3 linked regions of the Danio rerio genome follow. The protein of the gene in region 2 interacts with the protein of the main gene of each other region in a pairwise test. Links are inferred from orthologs where the notes say so. Each region holds a gene or a part of one and is shown on either strand. Other genes may lie near its edges. The genes, in order: eaf1, psme3 and eaf2.

What was found.
Region 1: the proteins of psme3 (region 2) and eaf1 interact in binary tests that used the Homo sapiens proteins (3 or more experiments, as listed by UniProt). The two-hybrid records come from large-scale screens. The link is inferred for Danio rerio from reciprocal best matches to the Homo sapiens genes PSME3 and EAF1.
Region 3: the proteins of psme3 (region 2) and eaf2 interact in binary tests that used the Homo sapiens proteins (3 or more experiments, as listed by UniProt). The two-hybrid records come from large-scale screens. The link is inferred for Danio rerio from reciprocal best matches to the Homo sapiens genes PSME3 and EAF2.

The regions. Positions count from the first base shown.
Region 1 is NC_133191.1:7,236,115-7,239,767, reverse strand, and holds part of eaf1 (ELL-associated factor 1), read right to left. Parts: exon of another isoform or gene 2,979-3,653; intron 2,427-2,978; exon of another isoform or gene 2,230-2,426; coding exon 2,023-2,229; intron 1-2,022. UniProt on the Homo sapiens protein: Acts as a transcriptional transactivator of ELL and ELL2 elongation activities.
Region 2 is NC_133187.1:29,024,062-29,028,261, forward strand, and holds the start of psme3 (proteasome activator complex subunit 3), read right to left. Parts: upstream 2,954-4,200; 5' UTR 2,837-2,953; coding exon 2,795-2,836; intron 2,192-2,794; coding exon 2,159-2,191; intron 2,058-2,158; coding exon 1,995-2,057; intron 1,158-1,994; coding exon 1,053-1,157; intron 939-1,052; coding exon 890-938; intron 81-889; coding exon 1-80. UniProt on the Homo sapiens protein: Subunit of the 11S REG-gamma (also called PA28-gamma) proteasome regulator, a doughnut-shaped homoheptamer which associates with the proteasome. 11S REG-gamma activates the trypsin-like catalytic subunit of the proteasome but inhibits the chymotrypsin-like and postglutamyl-preferring (PGPH) subunits.
Region 3 is NC_133184.1:24,619,610-24,623,898, reverse strand, and holds the start of eaf2 (ELL-associated factor 2), read right to left. Parts: upstream 2,854-4,289; 5' UTR 2,749-2,853; coding exon 2,646-2,748; intron 2,172-2,645; coding exon 2,077-2,171; intron 1,995-2,076; coding exon 1,858-1,994; intron 1,753-1,857; coding exon 1,589-1,752; intron 1-1,588. UniProt on the Homo sapiens protein: Acts as a transcriptional transactivator of TCEA1 elongation activity. Acts as a transcriptional transactivator of ELL and ELL2 elongation activities. Potent inducer of apoptosis in prostatic and non-prostatic cell lines.

The sequences.
Region 1 (3,653 bases), on a different chromosome or scaffold from region 2:
TGGAGTCAGCTCTAATCAGTCTAAGGTATGTCTGACGTTTATGTTTAGATAATGTTCAGAATTGTACGCACGAACCCCACGTGGAAATTTTTCTAGTCTGTGTTTTAACCAATCAGGTTAGAACACCTATATGTATGCCGCAGTTAATGACGTTATGGGAGAGTATAATTGTTATTGATTGGTGATTGTAAGCAGAGCGGCCTAGGAACTTATTGCGAGTGTTGATGCTGGCTTCTGCGAATGAAACTGCAAACTATCTTCAGTAAACTTGATTTATTTATTTAAATATCTGACTCCGGCTCTTCTTCATCTACCAGACTGGTCATTCTTTGGGTTAAACTATCCCTACACTCCCAATATTCCATTGGAAATAACAAACTTATGAGCGCAAAAGTATAGATATGTGAACAGCATGTTTCATGGCAGCATCACAAAGAGGTCTATGATCTATGCATGACAAAAAAATCTGTAGACACATAGAAAAAAAATCTGTAGACACATAGAAAAGTACACGTGACTACTTCTGATATGTGCTCAAGCAGAACATTGGATCCTTACTTGAGTCTGACGACATGCACGCACACGCAATTTTTGGAGACAATTTGTTACACATTTACTACGAGATTTTTTGTGTGTGTCTGTTTTAGAGACATGTTACAGGTCTTTGATATAGATGTAATTGTTTTCCTTTGAAAATATGTTTTAGATTCATACTGTAAAACAGGGATCACCAAACTTATTCCTGGAGGGCTGGTGTTCTGCAGATTTTAGCTCCAACTCTAATCAAACACAAAACTATGGGACAGTTGCTAGGGTGTGGCTAGTAAGTTGAAAGGTCATAAGTGATTGGCAGATTGCTAGTGAGTTAAATGAGCACAACCTTAAGTCTGTAAGACAGTCTGGCGCAAAGTTATGAGATCACAAAGTTTGGTCCAATATTTAAAAGTTAATCAAGGGCTGTTTCTCAATTCCAAGAACGCAGAGAATGGACTTGCGTTCTTGTGGAGAGCGGTCTTGCCAGGTGTCTTCGGAAGAACGAACTCAGGAGACCGCGAGGGCAGAGAACGCGTCCTTTAAGAAATGGGATGCTGCGTTCTTCCTGATGGTCACATGACCTTCACGCGTTTTAAATGGAAATTATTTAAACATTACAACATTCATATAACGATTTATTGTTTTCCCCCTCTTCAAAATATATATTTTGCATAAAAACATTATAAATATACTCTGCACAATATAAATAAAACAGATTTTAATACGAATTTCAGCAAACAAACACCCTTAATGTGTTTATTCCTTTATTAAGATGTTCATGGTGATGTTTACTTTCACCATTTCATTTAGGGAAACTCCTGCGGTAAATAAGTGATATCTCTGAACATTAATAATAAATCTAAATAAAATGCTGCGCTTCCCACCTCCAGTCGCAATGACTTCTGGGACTTCCAGAGCGAGTTCGGTGCTCAAGTCTGTATCAGTGCGTCCTCGATATCAAGATCACATCCAGGAAGTTTCACGCGTCCTCCGTACTTGCGGTCTTGAGTATTGGAACTGAACTTTGGCAGCTGATAATGACGTTACACAAGAACACGAGGTTGCAAGGCCGCTGAAGAACCGATTGAGAAACAGCCAAGGTCTTAGTAGGTATACTTGAAACACCCAGGCAGGTGTGTTGAGGTGAAGTTGGAGCTAAACCCTGCAGGGCACCGGCCCTCCAGGAACTGGATTGGTGACCCCTGGTGTAAAACATCTGTGTGTGTCAAAATTGTTATTAAAATCAAAATCTTAATATTGTTCTAGAAAATCGTGTTTCTAAGGTTTGCCATATTACACATCCCTAATTTGTAGCTCTGCCCTCTTGTAAAAAGAGCACAATCTCATTTGAATTTAAAGCGACAGTCACCAAAGTGGCACAGTTGGGATCAAAACCTATTAATTATTGTTATATCCTATTTGCACAACATTCATAGTTATATTACACTGTATGCTTGTCTCGTGTGGGTAATATATATGTTTTCTTACGGAGTGTGTTCATCAGCTGGTTGTTGCCTTGTGATTTGTTCATTCCGTTGGCCATGTTGTTCCTGCTGGGCGAGAGATGTGTTTCCTGTTCTCCATCGCTGCAGGAACTGTCGTCATTCCCGCTGCCTGAACAACTGGCAGATTCTGAAGAGCTGCTGCTGCCACTGCTGCTCATCTGCTCGATCATGTCCACCTCGGCCCGCAGCTCTGACACACACAGATCAAAAACACTGGTTCAATTCAGCAGAGTCAGAGAAAAAGCTACATCAACACTGCAGACGCACAATATATGACCCTGGACCAAAAAAAACTGTCTTATACAGGGTATATGCCGAGCTGGTGTTGCTCCCATAATGATAAACGTCTGGTGACCTGTTATTGTGAGTTTTTTTTCCATTTTATATGTAATGTAATGTAATGAGTATTTTTATATAGCGCATCTTAATGTGTATGTCCGTACACCCAAAGCGCTTCACAATCATGAGGGGTGTCTCCACACCACCACCGGTGTGCAGCATCCACTTGGATGATGCGACGGCAGCCACAGGACAACGGCGCCAGTGCGCTCACCACACACCAGCTATTGGTGGAGTGGAGAGACAGTGATAGAGCCAATTCGGTGGAAGGGGATGATCGGGAGGCCATGATCGTAAGGGCCGATAGAGGGACTTTGGCCAGGACACCGGGGTTACACCCCTGCTCTTTCACGAGAAGTGCCATGGGATTTTTAATGACCACAGAGAGTCAGGACCTCGGTTTAACGTCTCATCCGAAAGACGGCGCCCACTGACAGTGTAGTGTCCCCTTCACTTTTACTGGGGCGTTAGGACTCAGGACACAGACCACAGGTTGAGCGCCCCCTGCTGGCCTCACTAACACCACTTCCAACAGCAATCTAGTGTTCCCTAGTGGTCTCCCATCCAGGTACTAACCAGGCTCAGCCCTGCTTTATATATGGTTCCTTTTACAGCATCAATGTTGTAATGTAATTCAATACATTCAGTTAAACAGACTTTGGTATTCACTTAGTTACTCAAGCGTAAAATGAGACAAAAACCTGTTTACTCGCACGTGACCAACAGAATCGGCAGGATAATGCAGAAGCTCCATTGAATATACTGGAGTAAAGTGAATGCTCTTTTTATAAAGACATGGCGGTGAAAATGTAATTTAATGCAGTGCTTCTTGTACAATCTCAGACACACTTTATATTGGATATCACTCAACCAATGGAGATCGCTGATTTTTAAAGAAAACAGACCATAAACGCATTTGATTTTGCTTTGGCATACAGTTCACCGGAAGCGGTTAACCCAGGTTACTGGCAAATTAAAAGTCCTATTGGCACGCTTCAGCATATACCCTATTGCTAGGCCCACACGGAATCTGCACGCGCAGAATTCCGCAGATTTCTGCAGATTTTTAGCCCATCATTAATTCAGTTTATTCACTTGAGTAAATGTGTAAATCTGAATTCATTCAGTTTTTATTCAGTAATGTATTACTTTTTATTTCATATATTAAGGTTTTAGTTATGATTCTCTGCTGGATACTCCCAAAATAATTCAGCAGAAATCCACAGATTTTTACCAAAATTCTCTGCAAAAATAGCAAAAAACGTCCGCAGATTC
Region 2 (4,200 bases):
GACTTTTTCAATCAGCTCCACCAGCTTGCCATTGCTTTTCATCATTCCACCAGGCATGACAAAGACCTTGGTCCCGCCAACTACAACAGAGCATATACAGGAATCAGAGAGTGAAATCAGAGAGTGTTGCATTGGTTACTGCAATAAAGCAGCATGATATCAAATCTAGTATGATTTCATAAACTACACAGCATCCCGATATTCACAGAATTCAGGCAAACTTTAGCATAAAACCATACATTGTATAATCAAAAATTATAAAAAATGTAATACCTTGCAAAATAGCATTCAACACTTTGAGGGCCTTAAATTTCTCTACATTAATTGATCAACTTTTAATACTTTAAGACACACTGTACAAACAGGAACTTTAGTATAATGTAAAGAAGAGTGAGGGCTGGATCTGTCAGCACAGCAGAGCACATGGAAAAGAGAGGAAAAAAGACAAACGAAAAACAAACAAAACAACAAACAAACAAGATCTCCGTTTTTATTTTTTCCCCCAGTAAATTTCAACAGTATTTTGCAGAGTGTTTGGCCTGTCATGAATAAAACACAGTCATGATTATACAAATACAACTCTAAAACAGCCAGTAGGGGCAGCAAAAAGTTTAAATGAATTGAAACCTGTCTTTAGGAAGAGTAAAATGATTAATGCAAAATACATTCACCCAGGGCCAAAACACCAGTGTTGCACTGAGAATTGCTCATAAATATTTATTTATAGTTAATATAAATATTCTTTGCATAAATATAAAAAACAGAATGAAATATTTCCCAGTTTCAATATGAGCATTTAATAAAACAAGTATGTGTTATCATTGACAATCAACACTGCACACTTTCAAAACATATTTGTTTAACTTGGTAAACTAAAGACAATACCCACCTTTGTCGTCTCCTGCTCCATCTTCAAATTTCCTCTTTTTAGCATTTTGCTATTGAGAAAAATGTCAAGGTTATCTTTTTATCATATTCAGAGATTTTTGATCAACATCAATAGATGATATGACTGACTAATGAAGAAGACACTTGAAGAAAATGACTTTTACCCCCTCAATCCCATCGTGGATGTCTGTAAGCAGAATTGGGTCTGGCACTGTCAGATTGATCTCTGAATGAATTTCCTGCAGCTCCGTGATATTAATTGTGGGATCCTACAAGTGATCAAATGTATGAGTGTTTGTACAACAGGTAAAAGACTCAATGCATCATTTTGGGGTTTCAGCCCCTTTTAAAACAACATCTGGGTTTCACCAAGTAAAATTTAAGATTTTTTTAGACCATTACGAATTAAATTGCAAAATTTTACAAATGCTAAGGATTATTTTTAAATATCCCAGTTAGAAAAGATTTTCAGTTGCCCTATAACTTTTTTTGTAATGTAATACATTTAACAAAACAATTATAATATTAATAATTTAGTTTGATTTTTTTAAATAATTGTCAAATATATCCATTCACAAACTCTAAAGCCCTTACAAATATCAGAACAAAACATAGCTGTCAATTACTTCAGTCTACAAAAATAATAAAAAATATAAGACAGTCTCCTGTGTTAGACCATGGGCTGTATTAGCCACACCAACTTTTTGGGTTGGGTTTTCTCATTGAAAAACTTTTCCAAAGTAAAGTGAACTTCTAACAAAAAAACTGCAGAAACTTGTTTTAAGCATTATTATTTAAGTTTGATTTCTCAAAAGTCTGACTTTTCATTTCAAGATATGTAGCCGTTGAGATTTTTAAAGTTCTTCTTTAACATTTACAATGAAAAAAATAATTTTTCATAACAAGTCAATGTGATTTAATTGAAGGACGTTTAGATTTTTGTCCTGGACAACAAACTAAAAATCATTCAAATCATTGAAGTGCATGCAGCATTTAATCAAGACTTTGCAATTTTAAAACGTTCTGCTCCAATTTACGACTTTTTGCCTTCAATCTGAAGAGAGACAAAGCAAAACCCTGATCATAAACCACCATCAAACACTTACCTTCAAAAACTGGTCCAGTTCTAACAATTTCTTCGGGAAAAAGTTTGCAACCAAGTCTTCAGCCTATATGTCAACAATAAAACAATAAGTGTCAAATAGTCAAAGAAATGTCGGTATATAAATAATACATGTATAATTTATACATGTAATCTCCGTTAATTTACCTCTGATGTAATTCGTTCTCTAAAAGCATCAACCTGACAAGACAAAAACATTAATATGTAATTTTAGAAACACAACTAAGGCAATTCCCAATCTGAATTTTGCAGTCACTGCTTTTATTATTTTTAATAAAATCGCTTTAAGAAAACAAAACAGCTGGCGGCCTTTCTGTTTTAGGGCGCTGAATGTAGAACTGCACAATCCCGCTGGATTAATTTATTAGCCTCATGATCTTAACTGTAAACCTTTGACAAAATAAGTAGATATTAAAAATTACTTTTAGCTCGCTAATGGAAAAAAACGATGGCAAACTTCTCTCCAATTCTCCCGTAACGACATGCTGCTGTGCTAAAAACACGCTTCATCCGCACACCCGCTGTTAACAACGACTCCGCCGAACATGTGGGGGCTTCGGCTTCAGCTTGGTGATCTGATATATACAATCCGAACGTACTTAACGTTTAAATCAATATTTTATTTGAAAACTGTTTGATTTTACAAGCAAATCTGGATCTGAAAGTTAGCAGATGTGCTCACGAGGTGACTCACGGGCAAGCCGGCTAGCCGCAATGCTAACATTTACAAACAGTTTATTTGAGTGCGGCGTGTTTAAATAAAAGAAACGTTAAGACTTTTACCTTTGTTTTGATTTCATTGTCCACCTTCAGGAGCGAAGACATCGTATTAATTCAAGAAATGTGAAAATGAAGGGATTGTCCTAAAAGCATTAACTAACCGTGTGGCTTACTAACTGCTGTCAGCCACAAGGCACTTGCGCGCTTTTAGATGACGTAAAACACAGAGGCCATAGATGCGAATACATGATAGATGTGCAGAAAGAGTCTGGCATTCGTGACCAAATTCAGTCGAATTAATGCAACGACAACGCAGCTTATTCGTGTGCGGTTTGGCTGTATTCTAAATAGACACTGAAAAAAGTACTGGGTTATTTATTTGAACACATTGTTGGGTGAATTGTGCTGGATCAAAAGTATGGACTGTTTGATGTAGGCTACTATAAAACATTTGGGGTTTGCTGACCCAGTTTAAACTGGGCTTATTCGCTGATGAAAAGGTCAGGTCATTTTGATTTAGCTGGTTTATTAATTGCAAATTAGATAAAAAATTTATGGTTAATAGAATATATTAATGAACATGGGGGAAATAACAAACAAACAATAACAGAGATACTGTAATTTAAGTAATAATTATAACAATAATGAAAATAAATGACAAGAACAACATCAACAATCATCAATCAATAATCATAATAAACCATTATTTATTTATTTATTATTACCACTGTTGTTCTTGTAAGTAATAATAATAAAATAGAACATTAAGAATAATACTAGTAATAGAGTTTGACATTATGGCTACAAATTCTATTTCTCTCTTTAAAAGGTAAATCTGATCCCTGACGTGAATATCGCTTTTAACACGGTATCTATGTATTTTGATATATCTATGTTCTTGACGACTTGGAAAAGAGTGAAGCGCATGTCTGCGTCATATTTCTCGCTGTACATAAATTATTTGATGAAATCACAATATAAGTACCCACAAGAACAATTAAAAGCTTTCGCTTACCATTGAACAATTTTTATTTTGATATTTGATAAAAAGTATAAAAATATTTTGTTCGAACGTAAGCAAATCCGAGACACTTCCTGTGACGTACATTGGAGGCGTGTCTGAATCTAGCGATGTAAACAAGAACGCAAAAGACAAGTCTCACAGTGTTGACAGCACCACGGGCATTTAGAGCGTCGTATCCCCTCATCAAACGCTTCCGTTGACTCTGGCTCACAGACATGAACCTCCCCGTCACTGTCAAAGTGAACTTTAGGGGCAACGTGAAGAAATTTCCAGTCTTGGACACGAACAAAGCACAGTGGGAGACTGTGGAGGCCTGGGTAAGGAGTCATTAAGCCTTGCTGGGTGGCGTTTATGTGGGGACGTTTACATTTCTTGGTCCTACAAGGCCGTAGCTGAGGCCTACATAAACAAACCTTTAACCGGATGCTAAAAACGAATAACGTAC
Region 3 (4,289 bases), on a different chromosome or scaffold from region 2:
CCATCCATCCATTCATCTATCTACATCCATTCATCATCTATCTATTCAACCATCCATCCATCCATCCATTCATCATCTATCTATTCATCCATCCATCAAACTTTTTTTTTTTTTTTTTTTTTTTTTTTTAGAGAAAATGAGTATAAAAAATGCACTTTTATGATTTATTAATTTTTTTTTTTTATGGTTGTCTCCTTCAATATTTCAAGACCAGGAAAAAATATAAAGTTGTGTTATAACCTTGTAATACCTCTACAGCAACATTAAGAACTGTACTTACTAGGTTCAGATGGTTTTGAGGGACAAAATTGAAAAAGATTTAATAATCCAGGACTATTACACTAAATCGATCACAACCATCATAATTATTGTTAAATGAGGAAACACTTTAACTGTCATTTCATTGTATTATGTTTATATCTCCACAATTTGCATTAGATTTCTTTTAGAATAACTAAATCACAGTCATTTGAGACCACAGGCTTGCAGTATAATCAGGGTTTCTTCCAATCATTCCATATCCGTTTCCAAAAAAAAAAAAAAAAAAAAACGGAAAACGGATGTTTTTTGGTTTTTCTTTTGCTCACAAAAACCTACATTTTGGCTGGATTTTCATTTTTTATTTTAGGGGAGGAAAACGGATCAATGACTTTAAAATTCATTAAACACATGTAAGCAGTGCTGAAAGCCCTTTTTCCTCTGATTGGCTAACCAAGTCTAAGCTCATGACGTCGCCCTCAAAATAATAGTCCTCTGAGGATCTGCACCCAGGCTTTTTATCATTATTATTTATTTTATATATAAACTAAGTTTAAATATCCTAGTATTTAATCAGTTAGCAGGCTTACATTCATTGCGTATGCATAAGTTAAATAAAAACATAAATTAGCAGTATAGTTACACATGTCATTAAAAGAAGGCAATAGTTCGTAGCAAAACGTCTTGCTGCTGTGCGCCTGATGCCGAGTAAAGATAGCCTTTTCTGAGCATAACCTAGTTTGCATTATTGTTTCAGAGCTACTGTAGGCCTAAATAATAATAATAATAATAATAATAATAATAATAGTAGTAGGCTTATAATAAATATTATTGTTTACTTTGTGTTTTTTTATTGTCTAGTTTTTTAAATAATTGTTAGCAGGACCAGAACAAGAACACATTGGGCCCTAGGGCTATAACAAAAGATACCATTAGTTTTTTTTACATTTTTATTTCCTCTTATTTTAAATATATATATATATATATATATATATATATATATATATATATATAGGACTATTGTTTTGAAGACAACGTGATGAGCTCAGATTTCATTCGTCAGATGAAAAAGGGCGTTTCAACATCGCCTACATGTGTATAATGAATTTAAAAGTAGTATCCATTTTCCTACAATAAACCCCAAAAAAAAAAAAAAAAAAAAAAAAGAGCCAAAAGTTTTCCCTTTTTTTCAAACGGTTTAAAAACAGATATGGAATGGACGGAAGATACCATGAATCAATATAATATGTGGATCAGTTATGGATGTGAAACTGATGATTTGTTGCAGGAATCTTTTTTTTTTTTTTTTAATTTGGACCAGACATGTTACCTCGCTCAATATCATCCATAGGAGATGATGGAGACATCTTTTCTTTGGGAGGAGAGCTCTTGGTGCTGGATGGAGCCTTGCTTCCGCTACCCGTCTTCATCTGCTGGCTGAGTCTGCTGGTTTGTTGCTCCAGCCGTGACTGAATCTTACTGCTTCCCTCAGCCCTGGACAGAAAAGAGAATTTGACAATTTATTTACTTCACATACAATTCAAAGGATTAGAAGGAAGCATCATATTTATATGACTTGAAACTCAAAAGTGTTTTTACCTGGTCTTCTTGACCGCAATGTTGTTGCTGAGTTTCTCCAGACGATACTCTCCTGTGTCATGGTTAACAATCAGAATACACTCCTTCATATAAGGCCTTTTAGAGCCTTTAAATACAGTAACTGGTGCTGTGGATCCCTGAAAGGGTTGATTGGAGAGAAAAAGACTCAAGAATCATTCATTTTACGTACACTTCAGAATGTAAGGTTATGAAACCTACTTCCAAGTTCGGTAATGTGATTGTAACTTGCTCTCCTTTTCCCACTTCCAGCTCCCCCTCACATGTAGTGTCTATGGAGGCTGGTTTGAAATCATCTGTGTCCAGGAAGAACATATTTCTTGATATTCAGGTGTGCTATTATTACTGACACGTACAGTACACAGTAAAACAAACATCGTAGTATCATTGCAGAACCTACAGAGGGCGCGTGTTTCCCATGAAAGATCATTATTCTTCATGAATTAAATGGCTCTCAAAATTTCATTAAAACGACAAGTTTTCGACTAACAAAAAAGGCTGTTTATTTATAATAGTTTTCGTTGTGAGCACAAAGACAGGATGCTTTTTTAAATGATCCCCAAACAACATACAAAGCCGAGTTTAAGCCAGCAAGGTGGAAAAGCACATAGCTGCCTCCTGATATGCCTGTGCGTTTTCTTTGAAAACAATATATGGTTTCGGTGTTAACTTAAAAAACACCTCGTTTTCTTTTTCAAAATATGACTCACATTATCGTGTTTATATGATCATTTTGAAATACCGCTAGCAATATAAAAGATGCAACTTACATCGTACCGTGTGGAATGCACTTTTAGGTTGTTTCTCAAAAGTTTCGCCTAGTTTGAGGACGTGTTCTTGACTGTCAAAGTTTGAATATGCTGTTCCATTCATTCTAATCCAAATTTTCAACCATATATTAGCGATTTTCAACTTTCTGCTTGGTTTGATACCATCTAAGGCAGAAATAGACGCCTCACTTCTGGACCCGTTGCTCACGCTTGCTACGTTGGGATTGGCTGTGTTACTGCACTTGGTCACGCCTCATTTCGTTCACTTCTTGTCTGTAATTGGTTTAGAAGACAATCAGTCGACGCTGACGTAACGTTTGACGGAAGTGCCCATCTTTTCCCTTACACGCGTTTACACGACTGCACTGGTGCCCTCTAGTGTTCCCTAAGAATGCTTATTTGTATTTGTGCAGTTAACGATGACAAGTAAAAAAGTCTTGTCAGTTAAGAAAAAATAAAAATGACATGTTGAAACGTAGTTTGGGTCTAAAATAAATATTTTAAGGTATGTTCCAAACGGGTAATTTCATTAGCACAGACAATAAAATCATAATTCCTCATAAAATATTAAATTATATTAATAGATTATATGCCTTGCTGTGTTGGAATCGTTTTCTCTTTTCCCCCAAATATGTTTTGTTTCTTTAATAAAATCGTGCAGTTTGTTTGCATTGACGCAGAGAGAGTAACGTTATATGGGGTCTTCTGCTATCTAGAGGTCGCCGATTCATTTACGAGCAGCGCGTGTGTGGAGGAGAGAGACCGTCGACATGTCAACTCTACTAAAACAAATATCTAATGTAAGTATGATCATACACTACACTGTCATTTCTCCTGTATCTTTATATTAATGAGTCGGTTGTAAAAGTGACACGTTCATTAACGAAGCGGAGGCTAAATAAATGAATTGTCCCGTTCACTTCATATTTTGAGCGAGGGTTAACCAGCTTTCTGTCAGCTTAAGTATTTGTTATTTTCAGTTTAATGTTCACGGAATACCGTATACTAGGTTATCTTCAGTGTCATTCATCTTAAACGTAAAACTATTTCCATGAAGTCCACTGTTTCTGAAAACCTCAATAGAGATGGAGATTGGTTCAGCGGGAGCATGTGATGTAGGGAATTAGCAGGTTGCTGGGTGACTGTCTGTAAAACAAAGAAAAACATCCTTTGAGATCTAATATGATGGGGTGAAAATGAAGTCTGACACTACTTGTCATTAGATTAGATTAGAGATTCTGTATTTTATGCTGATCTGATGCTGAGTTTTAGATTCCATCTGTAAATGCTTGTAGCTTTATATATAATTGCATTTGAAAAAAGTGTGTGACCATGAATCAAGTAATGATGTAGAATCAATGAAAACATTTCCATTTCTGCACAAATTATAGGTCACACATGACATTTATTATGATTTATTTTACAGCTCTTACATATTTATTTACCAGCTTCAGAAATCATAGATGTAGCCTTGTGAAATTCATAATTTGCAAAGAAAGGAAATGATTAGAAAGGTGTTCAGTAATTAGAAAAGAATTAAAAAATGTTTTTTATTAGACTTTTTGTTTTTACCAGTGGTCTTTTTTGTTTCTTCTGTAAGTGTATGTTTGCGGTGTCCCTGGGCTGGTGATACACACAAGACTT